2 linked regions of the Cricetulus griseus genome follow. The main gene of each other region encodes a partner of the protein of the gene in region 2 in a complex. Links are inferred from orthologs where the notes say so. Each region holds a gene or a part of one and is shown on either strand. Other genes may lie near its edges. The genes, in order: Sufu and Gli1.

Region 1 (9,996 bases), on a different chromosome or scaffold from region 2:
CCACTTGAGCTATGGCTGAGCCATCTCTCTAGCCTCAAAAAGGGTAAGGAATAGAAGCAGATCAGTGCTAAAAATGAAGTGGACAATGCTAGCACAGATGAATGCAAGTTTGCTGCACATATCTACAACCCCTGCCACGCAGGAGGCTCAAGTGCGAGGATGGAGAATTTCAAGAGCAACCTAAGCCATCTACAAGCACAAGTTCAATACCAGCTAGGTCTACATAGCACAAGCAGAAAGTACAAACAGAGAGGTAACACTGGGAAGTGTCACCTAGTAGAACTAACATGTCCACAGAACATCACACATGTTCAATAAAGCCAAAGAAATGGACTTATCAAGGAAAGACAGGTGGCATACACTCACTCATGGACTCTGCTGTCACCATAGAGGTCGCTCAGGCCAAAGCTGATGTAGTGCCAGTGCTCGGGGATGTTGGCAGAAGGACTCCCCATATTCCTGTACATGCTAACATAATCCAATGGGTCTGGACCACCCAACCTGCAAAAGACAAAATATAAGGTGTCAATTTAAACCTGGATACCAGAAAATGTCAAGTAAGAGGCTCTGCTCTACAAACCCAAAAGCCCCATCCTAGAAGGACCTAAAGCAAAAGATAACTAAAGGGCAGCAAAAATCTCTTTAGCAACGAGCCACGGGTGAAGCAGCTGAGGCTATTGACGCCTCATGACCAAGAAGCCCCCTTCTCTGCCCTCTGAAGCACACTTGCTGGTTGCACGCCTTGCTCTCTCCTGTTTCAAGTTGCTGACTCCAGCTGGAGTCTTCTATGGGGCCTGACAACATGCCAGGCTTCAAGGTAAGAGGTGCATCAGCTAAGCAGTGGCTGCGGCTTCTGCTGAATGACTATACAGAGCATGCCCAATGGACGTCATTCCTGGCAGTACAGGTATCAGTCTACGCCTGTCTCTTAGACAGCTAGTTCCTGAAAGCCTGGATTGTGCCTCTATTATTGTTTCTTCTAAATACACACAAAGCCTCTGGTCTGCACAGATCAAAGCTCATTCACTGAGAGTGACAAAGTCCAAACATCAGCTAGCCCAGCTCTACGCGGAGCACTGAAGCAATGAACCAGGCTGACCCTGTGAGCACCTGCGTGCTAAGGAGCATCCGAGTCATTTGTCTCAAAGAAGAGCTGGGACAATTCACAATTTGATGCTCCCAAGGCTCACATTAAATTTCCCCATAAATCCAACAGAGAAGCAGTTGAAGAAGATATTCAGTCATTACCTCACTAGAGATTTAATTCAATAAAAGTTCTTTTAGTAATTAGTGCTTAAGCAAAACAAAACAAGCAACAAACAAAACTGTTTTCCTTAAGAATGGACAGGAAAGCATAGTAGACTTGAGAAGCACACTAAATGGAAACCATCAGCAGAACAAAGTGTGTACTGAGCCCATGAACTCCACATGTGAGCAACCACAGACTGTACTCCACAGACTGTAGAATCTTTGCCTGGCCCTGGACCATAGGCAGGAGTACACTTTGCATGTGGGCTACACTACTGAGGGACCGCTAACAACCAAATAAAAGACATGGTACAGGAGATCCCAGCAAGCGTGCCAGGACCATGCAATTCAAATCCTATTTTAAAACCAGTAAGTCTGGTTTCATCCTCTTTGCCAGGATGTTATTAGCCTTTGCAGAAATCCTTATTCTCTGGGGAAAAAGAAAAGAAAAGGCTAAGTTATTTATAGAACTCATAAGAAAGAAAGTCACTACAAATAATTTAGCTCTCACCTGAGTGAGTTAGGTAAAAGGCCAAGTCTCTATGCCTGCCTTTTGTTTGTTTTTTGTTTTGCAAGACAGGGTTTTCCTGTGTAGCCTGGCTGTCCTGGAACTATCTCTGTAGTTCAGGCTGACCTGGAACTCACAGAGATCCCCCTCTGCCTCTAAAGTGTTGGGATTAAAGGTGTGCATGCACCATCACCAAATCACTTGACTAAATCCATAACCAGTTGTATTTAGAAACATTTTGGGGAAGGACAGAAGAAAGAAAAGGACCCCATTATGACTGCAGAACCCTAAAAAATACAGGCTCCATATTCCCTCCAACTTCCTATTGCAAATCCCCAAGAGCCTTTGCTGCAGCCTCAGTCCATTGAGCAACAAGCAGTGACACTGTGCTCCACGTCCTGCTCCACCTGCCAGCACACTATAGCTCCTTCAGACAGTCTCCCAGGAGAGGGCATATCAAGAAGAGGCCTTAAGAGGAGTCAGGGAATGGCAAGAACCAAACAGCCTCATACCCAAGCTCAGAGAGTGCTGTTCTATCATCCACACTCAGATAAATGTTGAAAATCATGCTTGACACTTAGGGAAAGATGTGCTCTAATGGCCTAAAGCACCCCTAACCCTGAATTCCCTAGAGAACAGCTGCAGGACTAGAGTGGACCCAGAGCGCCAGGCTCTGCCTACCTGCTTTGATCCTGGACTTGTTTTCGAAAAGTCTCAAGTATTAGTTGGAGTACCCCTGCCAGCCAGGGACCACTAGCTAAAAAGCCACCCCTCAAATCCAAAAGAAGTCCTATAGCCAGACTCAAGCAGTTTAGTACCCTGCTATGAGAACTGAAGGGGCTGGTAAGACTCTAAAGGTAAGGTTATGAATAAACTTCGGTATCTCAATTCTGCAAATCCCCCTGAGTCTCAGAAAAAAAAAAACAAAACAGTCCCTAAGTTGTTTCCTCCTATATTCCCGCATCTAGGTGGCCTTTCTTATTTCACAAAATGCTGTACATGCCTTCCCAGTTGTTACCACATGCTGGTCTACCTCTGAGGACACAGCCTCACTACAAGCTTGTGGTAGAAAGAAGGAAGAAAGGAAGGAAGAAGGAAGGAAGGAAGGAAGGAAGGAAAGAAAAGAAAAGAAAAGAAAAGAAAAGAAAAGAAAAGAAAAGAATGCTGTAACTACTTTGGTCCTTTGTATAATGCTTCCATACCTTGACCACACAACTCTCATGACAGCCATGTAGGTAACAAAGCCAGTTGCCCTATTCTTTGAGGGACTTCCCCTCACACTTAAACAAGATCAGAGCAAACACACACCATGGAAAGGCCAGCCTCATTTCTCTCATAACATGGGACAAGTTCACAACATAGTTAAATATAAAGGTGCAATTAAAATGATTAAGTTAGCAAGAGCTACTACTGGTTGGATTTGTGCATGCCTTTAATCCCAGCACTCCAGAGACAGAGACAGGGGAATCTCTGTGCTTTCCAGGTCAGCCTGGTCTATAAAACGAGTCTGGGACAGCCAGAGTTACATAGTGAGACTCTGCCTCAAAAAACAAACAAACAAACAAGGTTACCAAGAGCTGTTTTCCACTCATGCTGTTTTCCGCCTGTGAACAGCATGCCTGCCACAGATGCACTCCTGGCTACCAGAACAGAGGCTGGTCCCCAGGCCCTCCAGGCTGTCAGTTTTCTTTGCATCATCCTCTCACCGACACAGGGAGTTAATCTCATCCCTGTACAGCCTAACTGCCTTCCCCAGAGGCCGCAAGGGGTGTTGCATAGGAAAAGGACAGCCTTAAAAGGGGTGTAAACCAGCAACAGCATCCACTTTCCCCCTTCAGGTCCACCTTTTGCCAGTACCCCAAGCAGTTGCCCCGGGAGTCTTCCAAGATCCACTGAAAGGGATCATCTAATACATTGAGTTCCTGCATGAATGCGGCCATCTCTTAGTCTATTTTTGGTCCAGAAAGACAATGAGAACTCGTCCCCATAACACCTGTTGCAAACAAGAACGGGAAATCAGAAAGGGTAGTTTCTTCCCGAAGAACAGCCCATTTGGAAACTAATCCTTTACTGAGCAACTTTAAACTTATCCTGGGCTTCCCAGGAGAAACTTCGGCTGAAATCCTGAAGACATGACAGGAGGCGCGTCTTCAGGCTGCCCCTGACCACGACTAAGGTCTCCTCCATGCAGTTCCCATGCAGTATCCCCTTCAATCCCGAGCCAAAGCACGGCTCACTGAGCCTGTTCTTCACTAAAGTCCTAAAGCAAAAGCAGCTGCAACGCCAGAAGCAAGCTCTGCAGAGAGAGAACTGTGCAGAGTAAGCAAAAAGTTTATCTGGAAGAGTGGCTCTGTCAAACTTCAAGAGCAACAGCTTCGTACTGAATGACAGAAGCTCCAGCGCTCGGGAAGGTCCCGAAAGAAGGTCTCCTCCTCAACTCTTCACTCATCAAAGGCACAATGCCCTCATCTTCCTCCCTCCTAGCCCACAGGGGCTTCCTGGTCCCCAGACCGCCCTGGACTACGCGGTCTCGCGCCCTCCAAAGCACTCTCAAATGCTCTCCAGGCCCCGCCTCACCTCCCCCATCCCACTCCAGCCGCCCCCTGGCTTCCCCAAGCCCACCAATGACCCACCCCAGGCGCCCCTCCTTTCTCCACGTTTACAGTTCGCTCTCACACGTCCCCCCTCCGCCCCTGCTCACACCCCCGGCTCCCAGTCCCCCCAGTCCCGGTTAACCCCTCACTACTCAGAGGGTCCGTTAACCCTTTGTCCCCACTCCCAACTTCTGTCTTAACTCCGTCCCCAGCATCAGGAAGCTCCCGGCTCCCAAGTCCTTTAACCGTTTTCTTCCTCCCGCTGCTGCAAACTACTTCGTGCCCGGCGCTCGAAGCCGTCCCGGCGGCCCCGGTCCCCCCGAGGCCCAGGGCATACCAGTACTTGACGATAGCGGTGACCTGGAGCGGGTTCGGCTGGTCGGGGTAAAGGCGGCGGCACTCTCCGTAGATGGCGTGCAGTCCCGGGGGAAAGAGTGAGGCGAAGGCCGGAGAGGCACTAGGGCCAGGGGCCGGGGGCGCGGCGGGGCCGGGGGCGACGCTAGGCCGCAGCTCCGCCATCGGGGCGCGTAGGGCGCGCGGGGAACCCGGGAGGGTAGAAGAGGGGAGGCGCCCCGATGGGCCAGCGGACCCACAGTGGACGAGACTCCCCGAGGCGATGGGGGCTACGGCGAGGTCTAACTCCGCGCCTGCGCACGGTGCTCCGTCCGCCCAAGCCCTAGCCTTCGCAGAGTCGGCCAGAGGGTGCTGCGGGACCGCGGGGAGCTCCAGGGGGCGGGGCGTCGGTGTGCCCTTGGCTGCCGCCCATTGGTTAGTGCCGTTGCCAGTCACAAATGGAGAGGCGTGACTTGACAATAGGCCCCGCCTCCCTGCCTCTGTGTTGGGAGCGTCCCAAGGATCTCGGCCTCCCCCTAGTGTTAGGAGGAACCCAGTTTGAAACAGACGCGGAACCTGGAGGTGCCAGGAGTGGTGAAAGCGCTAAGAAGCTCCTAGCTAGTACTGTTTTCCTGATACGCGATTTTAAGATAAGCCTGACAACTGACCAACTCATTCGTTTGTGTGTCTTTATTAATATGTTACAACTCTTTAATATATCTCGGTGCCGATGACTCAAAGAAACTTGAAGAGGCAGGGAAATAAATACTCCAGGGGAAAGCATTTACGCATACTTTCTCTTTGCCTGAATATTCTCACCTATCAAGTTGTTTTTGTTTGTTGTTGTTTTTTTTTTTTTTTTGGTTTTTCGAGACAGGGTTTTTCTGTGGCTTTGGAGGCTGTCCTGGAACTAGCTCTTGTAGACCAGGCTGGTCTCGAACTCACAGAGATCCGCCTGCCTCTGCCCCCCCCCCCCAGGGCTGGGGTTAAAGGCATGTGCCACCAATGTCCGGCTCCATCAAGGTTTTAAGCTCAAGAAAAGATACTAAAGCAGTCTCTAAACCTGTAGATAATATTTTAGACCAGTATTCTATTGCATCCAACTACAGGTATTTTTTTGATAACCTTTGTTTTGCTTCATGGGTTTTTTGTTTTGTTTTTTCGAGACAAGGTTTTTCTGTGTAGTCCCGGTTGTCCTGGAAACTCTGCAGACCAAACTGGCCTCGAACTCAGAGATCCGCCTGCCTCTGCCTCCAGGGTGCGCCACTAGCTACGGGCACTGCTGCGCTTCTTATACGTGCTGGGAAAGCATTCTGCCCTTGAGCGACATTTCAGTGCCAGAAATGTTTATTAATGGTTTACATTGCCCAAGTGCAGGAATGGCTGAGTGGTGAGATGAATAGGTAAAACTCAACAGCCCCTGAACTACTGTCAAACCTAACCTCAACTAAGTACAAGTACTCCAGACTCTGGAATTTAAAGGAAAAGCTTCGAAGGGACTACAAATCCAGGCATGCACCATAATGAACACCTGTGGCGCTTGACTCTACCGAGACTACAAACCCCATCGCACCCTTCATCGGAAACACAATCCAGTTTTCTAAACCCGGCGGGACTCGGGCTCTGCCTGGAGCGCCAGCCCTGGGGCAAAGGATGCTGGGGATTGTAGTTCTTCGGAGACGAGGTCGGGCCGCTCCCTGGACGGCCAGTACCGGCGACTAGACTGCGCATGCGCGTCAGTGGCGTTTGCAGCGGACCGGGCTGGCAGTTCCTTCCTCGGAAGGAAAGATTCCTCTGCCATGGAGTCCTACGATGTGATCGCCAACCAGCCTGTCGTGATCGACAACGTGAGTAGCGCCTTTCCTATCTCTAGAGAGACTGCGCTGCCCTCCAGAAAGGGTCGCTTCCGAGGTTTCAGCCTAGGCCGCCTGCTCTTTGTCACTGGCCCGGCCTGTCAGGCGGGTCCAGCCGCCGCCGCCCCCGTCCTCCCCACAGCCACAGTTTGCAGGCAGGGCGGCCAGCAGCACTCGTGTGATGGAGAGCTTGGGCGTAAACAAAGGGAAGAGCTGTAGCCCGAGAAGGGTCCTTGGACCCTCGGCTCAAGGGGCCTTAACCGTTCTGAGACCCTAGCACCCGCCTTCTCCCTGGCTTCTCGTCACCCAATTGGCTGCTCTCGCTGTCTATCTCAGCCTGTTGGTCCCGCCTTTGGGCCTGGCCGGATTAGACCAGCAGTGTGCGGTAATTGGCTGGCGAGCCTGTCGCTTCCTTTCTGGGAGGGGTGGGGCGGTGCGCTGGGGCGGCGGGGATTGGCTTGGCGCACTCCGGGAGCGGAAGGCGACGGCTGGTCCAGCGGTGAAGGTGGGGTGTGAGCCGGCTGGGCCGCATAGGAAACTGAATCAGGGTGGGGCCGCATAATGCGGTGCCAGAAATGCCTATGGGATTCCAGTTATTTTTGTGATTAGGAATTCTCGTTAGCAGCGGTAAACAAAGAAGGAGAGTGACAAAGCAGGCCAGGTGCCCTCCTCTCGGCCGTGCCCGGCTGAGAGGCCGGGAGGTGACCAGACGCGTGAGCGTCTGTCAGGTACGCTAGCGTTTCCAGGGCGCTCTCGCCAGCCTGTCAGTTGAAGCCAACCTCACAGAAAGTGAACGGTTAAGAAGGAAGTTTGCGTCTCCTTTCACAGAACGAACACCGAAGATGGAAGTGACCAAGGTCATATTCCGCAGCGGTGCCCTGTATAAGTTCATCGCCTTATCTAAATGTCATCCCTTTGCTAACCACCCCTCCACGAACGCATCGATAATGATGAATAGAAAGAGCCTAAGGATTGCCTTTATGAGGCGGGGCAGTATGTCTAAGGTTTCTATGCTTCACCCAAAGTTTTGGTCCTGTGCTCTTTCAGCATCCCTCCTTTGAGAAACCGCTGTGGAGTAACCCCTCTGTCCTAGGCCGACCTTATCGGAGTAACTGTGATGTTCAGCCCTTCTCACCTGGGCGTGCCGCTAGGTTCTTTTATTTGCATAGTAGGTAGATGGAGATTGCTTTCCCAGTTTATGCAGGAACGTGAGACTCGGGAAGGTTTTTCAGACGGCCCCGTTAGGAGTTGAAGATCCAAGACTAACAATGAAATCATCTAGTTCCAAGTTCTTCAATCTTTCAAGGAAGGCTGTCTTATTTGTTGTAAACTGCCTTTTTAAAAGGTGAGGCTGAGCCTGGCAGTGGTGGCGCACACCTTTGATCCCCCAGCACTCTGGAGGCAGAGGCAGGTGGAACTGTTTTAGTTCAAGGTCAGCTTGGTCTACAGAGCTAGTTCCAGGACAGCCAGGACTGTTATATAGAGAAACCTTGTTTTGTTTTGGAAAACAAAAAACAAAGTGAAGCTGAGACTCGGCGGGGAGGGGGGGGGTATGTCACCCGGCTGGTAGCATTGTCTGACATTTGTGAAATCCTGGGCTCCATCCCCAGACAGCATAGACCTGGTATAGAAGTCAGATGTGGGGCTGGAGAGATGGCTCAGAGGTTAAGAGTACTCGCTGCTCTTACAGAGGTCAATTCCAGCAACCACATGGTGGCTCACAGCCTTCTGTAATGCAACCTGGTACCCTCTTCTGGCCTGGGCAGAACATTATACATAATAAATATAAATAAATAAATATTTAAAAAAAGAAGTCAGATGTGGTCCATGCCTGTAATCCCAGCACTTGGAGACAGGAAAATCAGAAATTCAAGGTCATTGTTTGAAGCCAGCCTCTAAGACCCTGTTTGTTTGTTTGGGATAGTAGGTTAAGCAAAGTTAAATGAGACACCTTGTTTTGAAGTATTAGTTTTTGTCTTCACTTAGACTAGACAGACTTTTTAAATCATGTGGGGAGAGTGAGATCCTTCATTTTTCATCCCACAATGTCTCTCTCCCCTCCCCTCCCTCCATCTCTATCTTGTGTGTGTGGTGTGTGGTGTGTGTGTGTGTCTGTCTGTGTGTGTCCAGATGTGTCTCTTGTGCATGACCACACACGTGCATGTGAGAGAGCTGGTGCCTTTGGAGGCCAGAAGAGGGCTTAAATTTTGTAGAACTAGCGGCCGCAGGCAGTTATGAACTATCCAACATGAATGGGGTGCAGGGAAGGATGCAAACTCTGGATCTATCCCAGTGTGGCAGCTGGTGCTCTTTAACTACTGGGCCATCTCTCCAGCTCACCACTACTCCTCTTCCACCCGACTCTACAAGGCATTGAGAGCCCGGTACCACTATGCACACAATAAAGCCTTTTCATTGGCTAGGTGAGTGGATAGGTGAATAACTAATGATCTCTATCATGGTAACAGAAAATGGCCAGGGGGAAGGGAGACCCAATCAAGGTGAGGGGTTTCAGATATGTTTGTAATTCTGCAAATGATAGAGTGATACTTCTTTCTTTAGTTTGTTTGAGACGGGGTCTCAAGACACTTCTTGTTCTCAGTGTTGATATCCAGAGAGCATGACTACTTATGTCTTTAGCTACCTGTGTTTTGGAGCTACCTCTTTCTTAGTCATTAAAAAATGCAGAGAAGTGCCAAGTCTCAGACTGGAGAAATGACTCAGCAGTTACGAGCACTTGGTCCTCTTGTAGAGGGCCAGAGCTCCGTTCCTAGTACCCATGTAGGCAGCTGACAACCTGAAACTAGAACGCCAGAGGGTCAGATGCTCTCTTTGGTCTGAGGGTACTTGCACTTCACCTGCACAGACACACATACAAGACATGTGCATATACACATAATTATTTTTTAAAAGAATTGTCAGCTTTTGTTTTGGCATTAGCAGTGCAAGAAGCATCGGTTCACCCCACCATCCCCTTTTCCTTGGATCCCTCAGGGGAGTTGAAGTTACAGGTGGTTGCGAATCACTCAGTATGGATTCTGGGAACCAGACTCCAGTCCTTTGGGAGAACATCGATTGCTCTTAACTGATGAGCTATCTCTTTGGCCCCCTTACTTCTTTTTTGTTTTTTGAGATCTAAATGAGTCTGAAAGTTTGTGTGCTACCTGCATGCAGTGCCCTTGGAAGCCAGAAGAGGGCATCTGATGACTGGAACTGGAATTCCAGACAGTTGTAAGCTGCCTAGTTGGTGCTTGGGAGTCAAACCTGTGTCCTGTGGAAGAGCAGCAAGTGCTCTTAGCTGATGAGCCATCCCTCGGCCTTTGTTCCTTTTCTTACAAAGATCCTCACTCTGTAGCTCTGGCTACCCAGGGGATTCATTATATAGACAAAGCCAGCTTCAAACTTAGGGGCCTCCTGTCTACCTGCCTCCAGAGAGCTGAGATTACAGGTGTGTACCAGC
Region 2 (9,547 bases):
CAGACTCAAACCGCCGCAGAATGACTTTAGCCTCTATCCTTTTTACTCAACAGACGGGAGACACTCTGCTGCGAAGCCCTTTTCCCTCCCACACAGAGTTCTCTCGGCTAAGAGGACAGATCAGTTGTGTGTTCTCTTCTGGCCCCACCAGCCAATCTGCACTGAAGCGAGGTCTCCCTCTACTGGACACTGGGGAGTTTGCATATGCGTTCTTGGGCTGGGGCTCAGAGCGAGCAAGCAGCCCTGGGCATGATGAAGTCAGTGTTCCTCCATCACTCTTCAAAGCTAGCCATGGTCAGAACGAGAAGTAATGGAGGGATCAAGGCATTAAAACCACTTGGAATTTATGTTGGATCAATTAGTCCATAACTTCCCCTTGTGCATACACAGACCACGAGGCCCTTAACCTGTTCCCCCAAAAGATTCCCAAGACGGACAGGCTGCTTCTGCCTGCCCTTGGGGCTGTTTCTTCCTATTTTAACGCCGCTGAATGATATTATTTTCAACTTGATTTCCATGACCAGTCTCTGAGAGAGAGGTTCGGGGCACGAGGGACATGCTGGCCTGAGATTGCCATATATCTAGTTTCTCACCATGGTTATAACTTTGCAAATCTGCATTCCTTTCTGCAGTGCCCCTCATCCGCCTCTGAGACACCATGTTCAACTCAATGACTCCACCACAAGCCAATAGCTATGGTGAGCCGTGCTGCCTCCGACCCCTCCCCAGCCAAGGGGTCCCCAGCCTGGGGACAGAAGGTGAGTGTGTTTACCAGTCCCTGGGCCTTGAGGGCTTGGCGGATCTCTCACCTAGGATCCCTCTCAGCCTCATTCCTCCCCCACAATAGTTTCCTATCTACAGGAGGATTTGAGACCCCATGCCATGCATGCTTGGAGCTGGGGGTCATATCTCACGTGGGGTCTCAAGGTAAGCCCTGTGTGTCCCCATCCAAATGCCCCATTCCAGCTGTCTCTCTTTTCTAGGATTTTCTGGTTTGCCCTTTTGCCACCAAGCCAACTTTATATCAGGGTCCCAGGGTTATGGGTCTGCCAGAGAGACCAACGGCTGTTCTGAGGGTGAGGACTCAGGCGATCTCTGTCCCCTCTCTGCCCCTCTGGGACTTGTTCGGAAGGAGGAAGTGGGAAGGCAAGGACGAAGATCAATGGAAGAAGTGTCCAGAGATGACAGGGATCAGAGAGCCATCAAGAAGTCCTAGGTTGAGCAAGGCAAAAAAAATAAATAAATAAAAATTAAAAAATTAATTAATAATAAAATAAATAATTCTTTATTAATAATAAAATAAAAATTAAAAAATTAATTAATAATAAAATAAAAAAATTCTTGGTGGCACACGCCTTTAATCCCAGCACTCGGGAGGCAGAGGCAGGCGGATCTCTGTGAGTTCAAGGCCAGTCAGAGTGCCAGCATAGGCTCCAAAGCTACACAGGGAAACCCTGTCTCGAAAAACCAATAAATAAATAAATAAATAAATAAATAAATTTTTGAGTCAGGCCCCACATACTGAGTGCATGTACCTTTACTGCATCTTTCTTTTCTTTCTGAAAATTTTTAAAATTTATTATGTATATAGTGTTTTGCCTGCGTGTCTGCCTGCACACCAAAAGAGGGCACCAGATCTCATTACAGACAGTTGTGAGCCACCACGTGGTTGCTGGGAATTGAACTCAGGACCTCTGGAAGAGCAGCCAGTGTTCTTAACCTCTGAGCCATCTCTCCAGGCCCCTAAATTTTATTTTTTTAAATAATGTATGTGTTTGTGTCTGTGTGGGTTTGCACATGTGATTGCAAAGGTGCGGGGCATCCTTGGAGCTGGAGTTATAGGTGGTTGTGCTGGTGTGGGTGCTGGGAACCAAACTCAAGTCCTTTGGAAGAGCAGCTAGTGCTCTTAACCACTGAGCTGCCTCTCCAGCCCCCTTTGCTGTTTCTTGACTCCTATCTCCTGCCCTAGGGCCACTCTTTCCTCCTCCCCGGAGTTCAGTCAAATTGACAAAGAAGCGGGCACTGTCCATCTCACCTCTGTCCGATGCCAGCCTGGATCTACAGACTGTCATCCGTACCTCACCCAGCTCTCTTGTGGCTTTCATCAACTCACGCTGCACATCTCCAGGAGGCTCCTATGGCCATCTCTCCATTGGCACCATGAGGTGCTGGCACCTCAAACTAAGAGACCCCTAAAATATGTACTGAAACCCATTAGAAGACTCGGACCCTTCAAACCTCCAGCCCAACTTGAACCCCTAACCCTCCCAAAGGGGAACCCTTTTCAGAATCTCCCTGGGCTTACTCAACCAAGCCTTCCAGAAACCCACAAAATAGAGCAAGGATTCCGATGACTGATAGTCTTAAATAACAGCCTCCTCTTCATCTAGCCCATCTCTAGGATTCCCACCCCAGATGAGTCACCAAAAAGGGACTTCGCCTTCCTATGGAGTCCAGCCCTGTGTTCCACAAGACTCTACTCGGGGTGCAATGATGCTGCATCCTCAGTCCCGGAGACCACGTCAGACCTGCCAGGTGGGACTCTCCACATTGCCATCTTACTTGGCTTCCCCGACTCAGGATAGGTGGGTAGTAGACTTAGCAGCAGCGGGGCAGGTGAAGGAAGCCAGTACACATAAAAGCCTTTGGTACTGGGAAGGTAGAGGTATAGATGGCAGCCCCACCCCTTCCCTCAGCAGGGTTGACTCAGACTTTCTCAGATGAGAGCACACCTGTCCATCCCATTCGCCAGTGCGGGCTGTGGAGGAAGTCCTTCCACACTCACAGGAGTCCTGCTATTGGGTGGGGGCCCATAGGGCAGAAAAACCTGGCACGCTTTCCCTTCTGACTACTCCATCCTCACTACCCTCACCTCTTTCCCTGGAGAAGCTGAAGTCAGAGCTGGACATGCTGGTAGGCAAATGCCCAGAGGAGCCGTTGGAAGGGGACATGTCTAGCCCCAACTCCACAGGCACACAGGTAAGGGAAAGGGCAGGGTGCTCTCTGTGGGACCTGAGCAAAACAAAACTTGCCACCCATGACCCTAAGAGTGTGTCCTTTGCCCTAGGATCCCCTGCTTGGGATGCTTGATGGGCGGGAGGACCTGGAGGAGAAACCTGAGCCTGAATCTGTGTATGAGACTGACTGCCGCTGGGATGGCTGCAGCCAGGAGTTTGACTCCCAGGAGCAGCTGGTGCATGTGAGCCCCAGGGGATGACAGATGGTTGGTGGGAGCCTGTAGGAGACTGAGTGGGTCATTATGGTCTGCTCAAGGGCAGAGCAGGTGGTTCAAGGATCCTGGGGTCAGAGATGGCATGCTCAATCCTGCAACCCAAAGCTTGGAGTAGCTTTTCTATAGAAGGCTAAAAGACCCCAAGTGTGGGATATGCTGCCTTCCTGACCTTTAACTCCCCCAGGAGGCAGTGCTGAGGAGGATGAATGGGGGGCTGAACGAAAGGGATATGTCCCGGGTTTGGGTGGCATCGGGAACCCCAGAAAGCCTCGTCTTCTCCCTCCTCAGCATATCAACAGTGAACATATCCATGGGGAGCGGAAGGAGTTCGTGTGCCATTGGGGGGGCTGCTCCAGGGAGCTGAGACCCTTCAAAGCCCAGTACATGCTGGTGGTGCACATGCGTAGACACACGGGCGAGAAGCCGCACAAGTGCACGGTGAGGCACCCATCCCTCCCCATATTGGTGCCAAATCAAGGTAGGGTCCAAGGTAGACATTTGCCTTCAAAGTCCCTTCCTTCATAAGCAGATGTTTAAACATCTTGCTGAAGACTGTATTGATAGAAAGATGAGCACATTGATATCTATTAAAATGTTTTCAGTTACATTTTATGGGGTGGTGGAGTCTTGCATTCCAGGGTGTCTGTGTGGAGGTCAGAGGGCAATTTGCAGGACTTGGTTCTCTTCTTCCACCATGTGGGTCCTGGGGAATCAAACTCAGGTTGGCAGGCTTGGTGGCACACTCCTCTACTCACTGAGCCATCTTGCTGGCCCTAAAATATGTTCTTGGTATGGTGGTATATGCCTGTAACCCTAGCACTTGGAAAGCTGAGGCAAGAGGATCAAGCGTTTGAGGCCAGGTCTCAAAAGAAAAACAAAACAAACCAGGCCTAATGGCACATACCCTTAATCCTAGCACTTAGGCAGCAAAGGCAGGCAGATCTCTGTGAGTTCAAGGCCAGTATGGTCTACATGATGAGTTCCAGGCTAGTCAGGACTACACAATGACACTATCATCTCATAGATGAATAAATAGCAAACAAAAACAAAACAAAATTAAGTTTTGGATCAAACAAACTTTTTCCCTTTGATTTTAAAAGAAATGAAAATATGTGCTGGGCATGGTGGCACATGCCTTTAATCTCAGCCCTTGGGAGGCAGAGGAAAGCAGATCCCTGTGAGATGGAGGTCAGCCTGGTCTACTCTGGAGTGAGTTCCAGGATAGCCAGGGCTACACAGAGAAACCTTGTCTCAAAAAAACAAAATAATAACATAAATGAAAACATACTTATAAATCCCTTATGTGGGCCCCTTAGTACTCTTGCTACTACCTTGCCTGGTGGATAGGCCCTACGTCATTGCTCTAGGACACTCATGATTTCAATTTAGGACAGTCTGAACTCTATACAGGGGGACCTGCTCCAAGATGTTCCCTACTTAACAGCCATCCCCTACCCTGAGCGTTTCCACCTTTCTCTGCCCTTGTGCCCAACCAACTCCTGGGATTCTCTGGGGTTCCTGTGTCTCCCCATTTTTAGTTATATTCTCTGGTGTAAACCCTTAAATCTCTGTGTCCTGTCTGAGAAATGTTACTTGACTCCTTTCCTGTCCCCCAGTTTGAAGGTTGTCGGAAGTCATATTCCCGCCTTGAAAACCTTAAGACGCACCTTCGGTCACACACCGGTGAAAAGCCTTACATGTGTGAGCATGAAGGCTGCAGCAAGGCCTTCAGCAATGCCAGTGACCGCGCCAAGCACCAGAATCGGACGCACTCCAATGAGGTGAATGCCCAAACTATACTCTTCCCATTTGAGACGCTACCTTCTATGTGATTCCCCTGGTAAAGAGCTCCTTAACTCCAGTGGCAAGTTCCCCTACAATGTAATTTACACCAGGAACACTTGAGAGAAGTGCTGCTCTTTGGTCTAGCCAGCCAAAGGGTCAGTGTACAGTAGACCCCTGACCCTTCAACTTCTGAATTTATGTGATCTCACAGCCTTAGGGGGGAGGGTGTCACCTCTTTTTTCTTTAGCCCACACCATCTATTTTCTTAACTCTTCTGTAAGCCTCTCCTGATTTACTCTACCGGGGGCTCACAATACTCTTTCTTGCTCGAAGGCTGTGTGTCCTCCCTCACTTACCCCATTCTATTTGTGTTCTGCCCTTCGTCCCTTGACTTTCTGGCTCGGCAATGCTACTACTCGACAGAAGCCGTATGTATGCAAGCTGCCTGGCTGCACCAAGCGCTACACGGATCCCAGCTCACTCCGCAAACATGTCAAGACGGTGCATGGTCCTGATGCCCACGTGACCAAGAGGCATCGAGGGGACGGCCCTTTGCCACGGGCACCGTCCCTTTCCACGGTGGAGCCCAAGCGGGAAAGGGAAGGAGGGCCCATCAGGGAAGAGAGCAGATTGACTGTGCCCGAGGGTGCCATGGTGAGCCAGCCTAGGAAGTCTTGCCTCCATATCCCATCATGCCTTCCTTCCCCTCTTTCCAGCCTGTCCTAGAAGCATCCCCTTCTATATGCAGTCTTCTGCGGCCAGCCTGCCTGTCTCTAGTTTTAGTGTTGCTCCATGGCACAGACACCAGATCTAAGAATGCTGTTACAATTGTCAATTCTTTAATTGGTCGGACATATTCACTTTTTTTGGGGGGGGTGCTTCTGGGAATATGAACACATGCAAGCAAATTCTCCACCACTAAGCAAGTCCTCAGCCCCCCTATGGACTCGATCTTAAGTAGCACTTAACTATGTAGTTCCAAGCCTTAGGTGCACATATTTCATGTTTTCTTCAAAAGAGCAAACAGGCAAAGATAAGTTGTCAGGGTCAGGGTCATAGAACTAAGGGGGAATGGAGCCCTGGGTCTCTTTACTGCAGCAGGGGCCCATCCCATTTTCTTCCAGCTCACCCTAACCTCCCGCCTGCTCAGTCCTCTCTACCCTTGCATGACTGCCCTCAGCTCTTGCAAACCACTGGGACACAGGCTTCCGCCACTCCCCAAGGGGAAGTGGTAGGGGGTGGGTACCACCCTCTGCTCTCAACCTTCTCACAGAAACCACAGCAGAGCCCCGGAGCACAGTCCTCCTGCAGCAGTGACCACTCCCCAGCAGGCAGTGCAGCCAATACCGACAGCGGTGTGGAGATGACTGGCAACGCAGGGGGCAGCACTGAGGACCTGTCCAGCTTGGATGAAGGACCTTGTGTTGCTGGCACTGGACTTTCCACACTTCACCGCCTGGAGAACCTCAGGCTGGATCAGCTGCATCAGCTCCGGCCATTAGGGTCCCGGGGTCTCAAACTGCCCAGTTTAACCCATGCTGGTGAGACCTGGGTGTGGGAGGTGTTGCTGAGCTGAGCTGTGGACCTGTCCTGAAGCTGAAGTGATAAGGTCACCCTTTGAGTTGCCACATGGCATCTTTTTATCATCTGAAAAATATTCCCCCTTCCTTGAAGATACTTTTCCTTCCATTGACCAGAGAATTATAATATATATCTAGGCATGGTGGTTGTGCACCTGTAGTTCCACCACTATGGAGACCGGGGCAGCAAGAGTGTTCAAGGCCGCCGGGTGTTGGTGGTGCACGCCTTTAATCCCAGCCCTCGGGAGGCAGGCGGATCTCTGTGTTCGAGGCCAGGCTGGTCTCCAGAGCAAGTGACAGTATAGGCTCCAAAGCTACACAGAGAAACCCTGTCTTGAAAAACCAAAAAAAAAAAAAAAAAAAAAAAAAAAAGTGTTCAATGCATCTGTGGTACATTATCTCTATAACTGCAGCCGTGTACAAGATAATAACTGCCCGGAATCCTTGCTGAAAGGAGACAAACAGCATGGTTAGGGCGAAGAAGCCTAGGACTCTTTTACCTTGGGGCTCCAGGTCAAGGCTAACCTGTGGGATAGGCAGGGTGGGAACCACAGGGGTTCCCTACCACCTGCCTTTTCTCTTGTCATTTGCAGGCACACCGGTGTCTCGCCGGCTGGGTCCCCCGGGCTCCCTCGACCACCGCAGCAGCAGTTCTAGCAGCATCAGTTCCGCTTACACGGTCAGCCGCCGCTCCTCCCTGGCCTCCCCTTTCCCACCTGGATCCCCACCAGAGAATGGGGTGTCCTCCCTACCTGGCCTCACGCCTGCCCAGCACTACATGCTCCGTGCCAGATACGCTTCAGCCAGGGGGAGTGGTACCCCACCCACTGCGGCACACAGCCTGGATCGGATGGGGCATCTTCCTGTACCTTCTTGGAGAAGCCGAGCTGAGTACCCAGGATACAACCCCAATGCAGGGGTCACCCGGAGGGCCAGTGACCCAGCCGGGGCTGCTGACCACCCAGCTCCAGCCAGAGTCCAGCGGTTTAAGAGCTTGGGATGTGTCCACACGCCCCCTAGCGCGGCAACGGGAAGGAACTTCGACCCCCACCTTCCTACCTCTGTCTATTCACCACAGCCTCCCAGTATCACTGAGAATGTTGCTATGGACACTAGAGGGCTTCAGGAGGAGCCAGAGGTTGGGGCGTCTGTGATGGGCAATGGTCTGAACCAGTACATGGGTTTTCCATCTGCTGACTCGCTGGGATACGGGGGACCTGAGGGAGCGGCGGCTGAGCCCTATGAGGCTAGGGGTCCCGGGTCCCTGGCTCTTGGGCCTGGTCCACTGACCAGCTATGGCCCTAGCCACTGTCCCCAGCAGGTCTCCTATCCTGATCCTACCCCAGAAACATGGAGTGAGTTTCCTTCCCATTCTGGGATGTATCCTGGCACTAAGGCTCCAACTGGAGCCTATATCCAGTGTCCTCGACTTGAACATTATGGACAAGTGCAGGTAAAACCAGAACAAGGGTGCCTGGTGGGGTCTAACTCCACCGGACTGGCACCCTGCCTCAATGCCCACCCCACAGAGGGGTCCCCAGGCCCGCAACCTTCATTTTCCCATTACTCCCAACCCCCTCCTCCCCAGTATCCCCAGTCAGGTCCCTACCCTCGGCCTCCCCATGATTATCTCCCGTCAGAACACAGGCCTGGCCTTGATTTTGACTCCCCTTCTCATTCTGAAGGACAGCTCAAAGCTCAGCTTGTGTGTAATTACGTTCAGTCGCAGCAGGAGTTGCTGTGGGAGGGCAAGGGCCGGGGAGGGCTCCCCAACCAGGAACTTCCATATCAGAGCTCCAAGTTTCTGGGGGGTTCCCAAGCTAATCAGAGCCCTGTCAAGGGTCCAGCAGCTGCCTACGGATCTGGCTTTGCACCTGCTCTGGCCAGTCACAAGCCCGGCTCCTTTCCGGCCCCTTCGCCATGCCATGAGACTTTTACAGTGGGTATAAACAGGCCTTCCCATAGGCCAGCAGCAGTGCCACCCAGGCTTCTGCCCCCATTGCCTTCTTGCTATGGACCTCTCAAGGTAGGGGGCGCCAACCCCAGCTGTGGCCATCCTGAAGTGGGCAGATTGGGAGCAGGCCCTGCCTTGTACCCTCCCCCTGAAGGGCAGGTGTCCAACCCTCTGGATTCTCTTGACCTGGACAGCACTCAGCTGGACTTCGTGGCTATTCTGGATGAGGCCCAGGGGTTGAGTCCTCCTCCTTCCCACGAGCAAGGGGACAGCTCTAAAAATACCCCACCTCCCTCTGGGACCCCCAACATGGCAGTGGGTAACATGAGTGTCTTACTGGGGTCTCTGCCGGGAGAGACACAATTCCTCAACTCTAGTACCTAAAAGGATAAGGAGTCCCAACCGGATCATGTTTCCTAGACGGCCACATGAGGTGCCCGGGAATGGGAGGATTGGGCTGGGGAACTCTATTTAGTCTATGTATGTTCCAGGAGAAAACTTTAATAATAATGACAGTTTCCTGACAATAAAGGAATGCTGAGAACAAGTACCTTATGGGTCATCTTGGGGAGAGTGGACATGGGGCTCACGTGCCTTCCTCTCCAGAAAACTCCCACGGCTCAGACAGGACTCGGGAAGTGGGAGAGTGTCCTTTGGGAGAGGGCTTACAAGATGTCTTCAAAGCAGAAGACCTGCCATCCCTCTCCGAAGACCAGATGACAGATGGCAGGAGATGTCCTTTTCCTCATCCTTGCCTGCCCGGGTCAGGTGAAGAGGCTATGGAAGTCTCCGAAGGAAGACCAGCTGACAGATCGAGGGAGATGTCCTGTCCCTCACCCATGCCTGGGTCAGGTGAAGAGGTTTCCAAGTCTCTGAAGACTGGCTGACAGATAGAGGGGGGTGTCCTTTCCCTTGCTCTCACCCGCCCTGGTCAGGGGAAGAGGCTGTCGAAGTCTCTGAAGACTGTCTAACAGATGGGAGGAGATGTCCTCGCCC

What was found.
Region 1: the proteins of Gli1 (region 2) and Sufu are in contact, whole or in part, in a crystal structure (PDB 4KMD), measured with the Homo sapiens proteins. The link is inferred for Cricetulus griseus from reciprocal best matches to the Homo sapiens genes GLI1 and SUFU. Residues at the interface, in NP_005260.1 of Homo sapiens: Gly119, Ser120, Tyr121, Gly122, His123, Leu124, Ser125, Ile126, Gly127; in NP_057253.2 of Homo sapiens: Leu144, Tyr147, Asn153, Thr154, Phe155, Gly158, Asp159, His160, Val161, Ser162, Trp163, His164, Gln212, Asn265, Leu266, Ser267, Gly268, Val269, Ser270, Ala271, Glu376, Leu380, Lys398.

What each region holds. Positions count from the first base shown.
Region 1 is NC_048596.1:15,196,991-15,206,986, forward strand, and holds the start of Sufu (suppressor of fused homolog), read right to left. Parts: upstream 5,065-9,996; 5' UTR 4,870-5,064; coding exon 4,688-4,869; intron 502-4,687; coding exon 367-501; intron 1-366. Other genes in the region: Actr1a (alpha-centractin), read left to right, coding at 6,483-6,530. UniProt on the Homo sapiens protein: Negative regulator in the hedgehog/smoothened signaling pathway. Down-regulates GLI1-mediated transactivation of target genes. Down-regulates GLI2-mediated transactivation of target genes. Part of a corepressor complex that acts on DNA-bound GLI1.
Region 2 is NW_023276806.1:130,393,073-130,402,619, forward strand, and holds the end of Gli1 (zinc finger protein GLI1), read left to right. Parts: intron 1-53; 5' UTR 54-294; intron 295-301; exon of another isoform or gene 302-538; intron 539-626; exon of another isoform or gene 627-632; 5' UTR 633-658; coding exon 659-758; intron 759-861; coding exon of another isoform or gene 862-927; intron 928-983; coding exon 984-1,076; intron 1,077-1,969; coding exon 1,970-2,165; intron 2,166-2,390; coding exon 2,391-2,535; intron 2,536-2,886; coding exon 2,887-2,979; intron 2,980-3,067; coding exon 3,068-3,199; intron 3,200-3,520; coding exon 3,521-3,670; intron 3,671-4,848; coding exon 4,849-5,013; intron 5,014-5,440; coding exon 5,441-5,671; intron 5,672-6,290; coding exon 6,291-6,558; intron 6,559-7,190; coding exon 7,191-8,935; 3' UTR 8,936-9,099; downstream 9,100-9,547. UniProt on the Homo sapiens protein: Acts as a transcriptional activator. Binds to the DNA consensus sequence 5'-GACCACCCA-3'. Regulates the transcription of specific genes during normal development.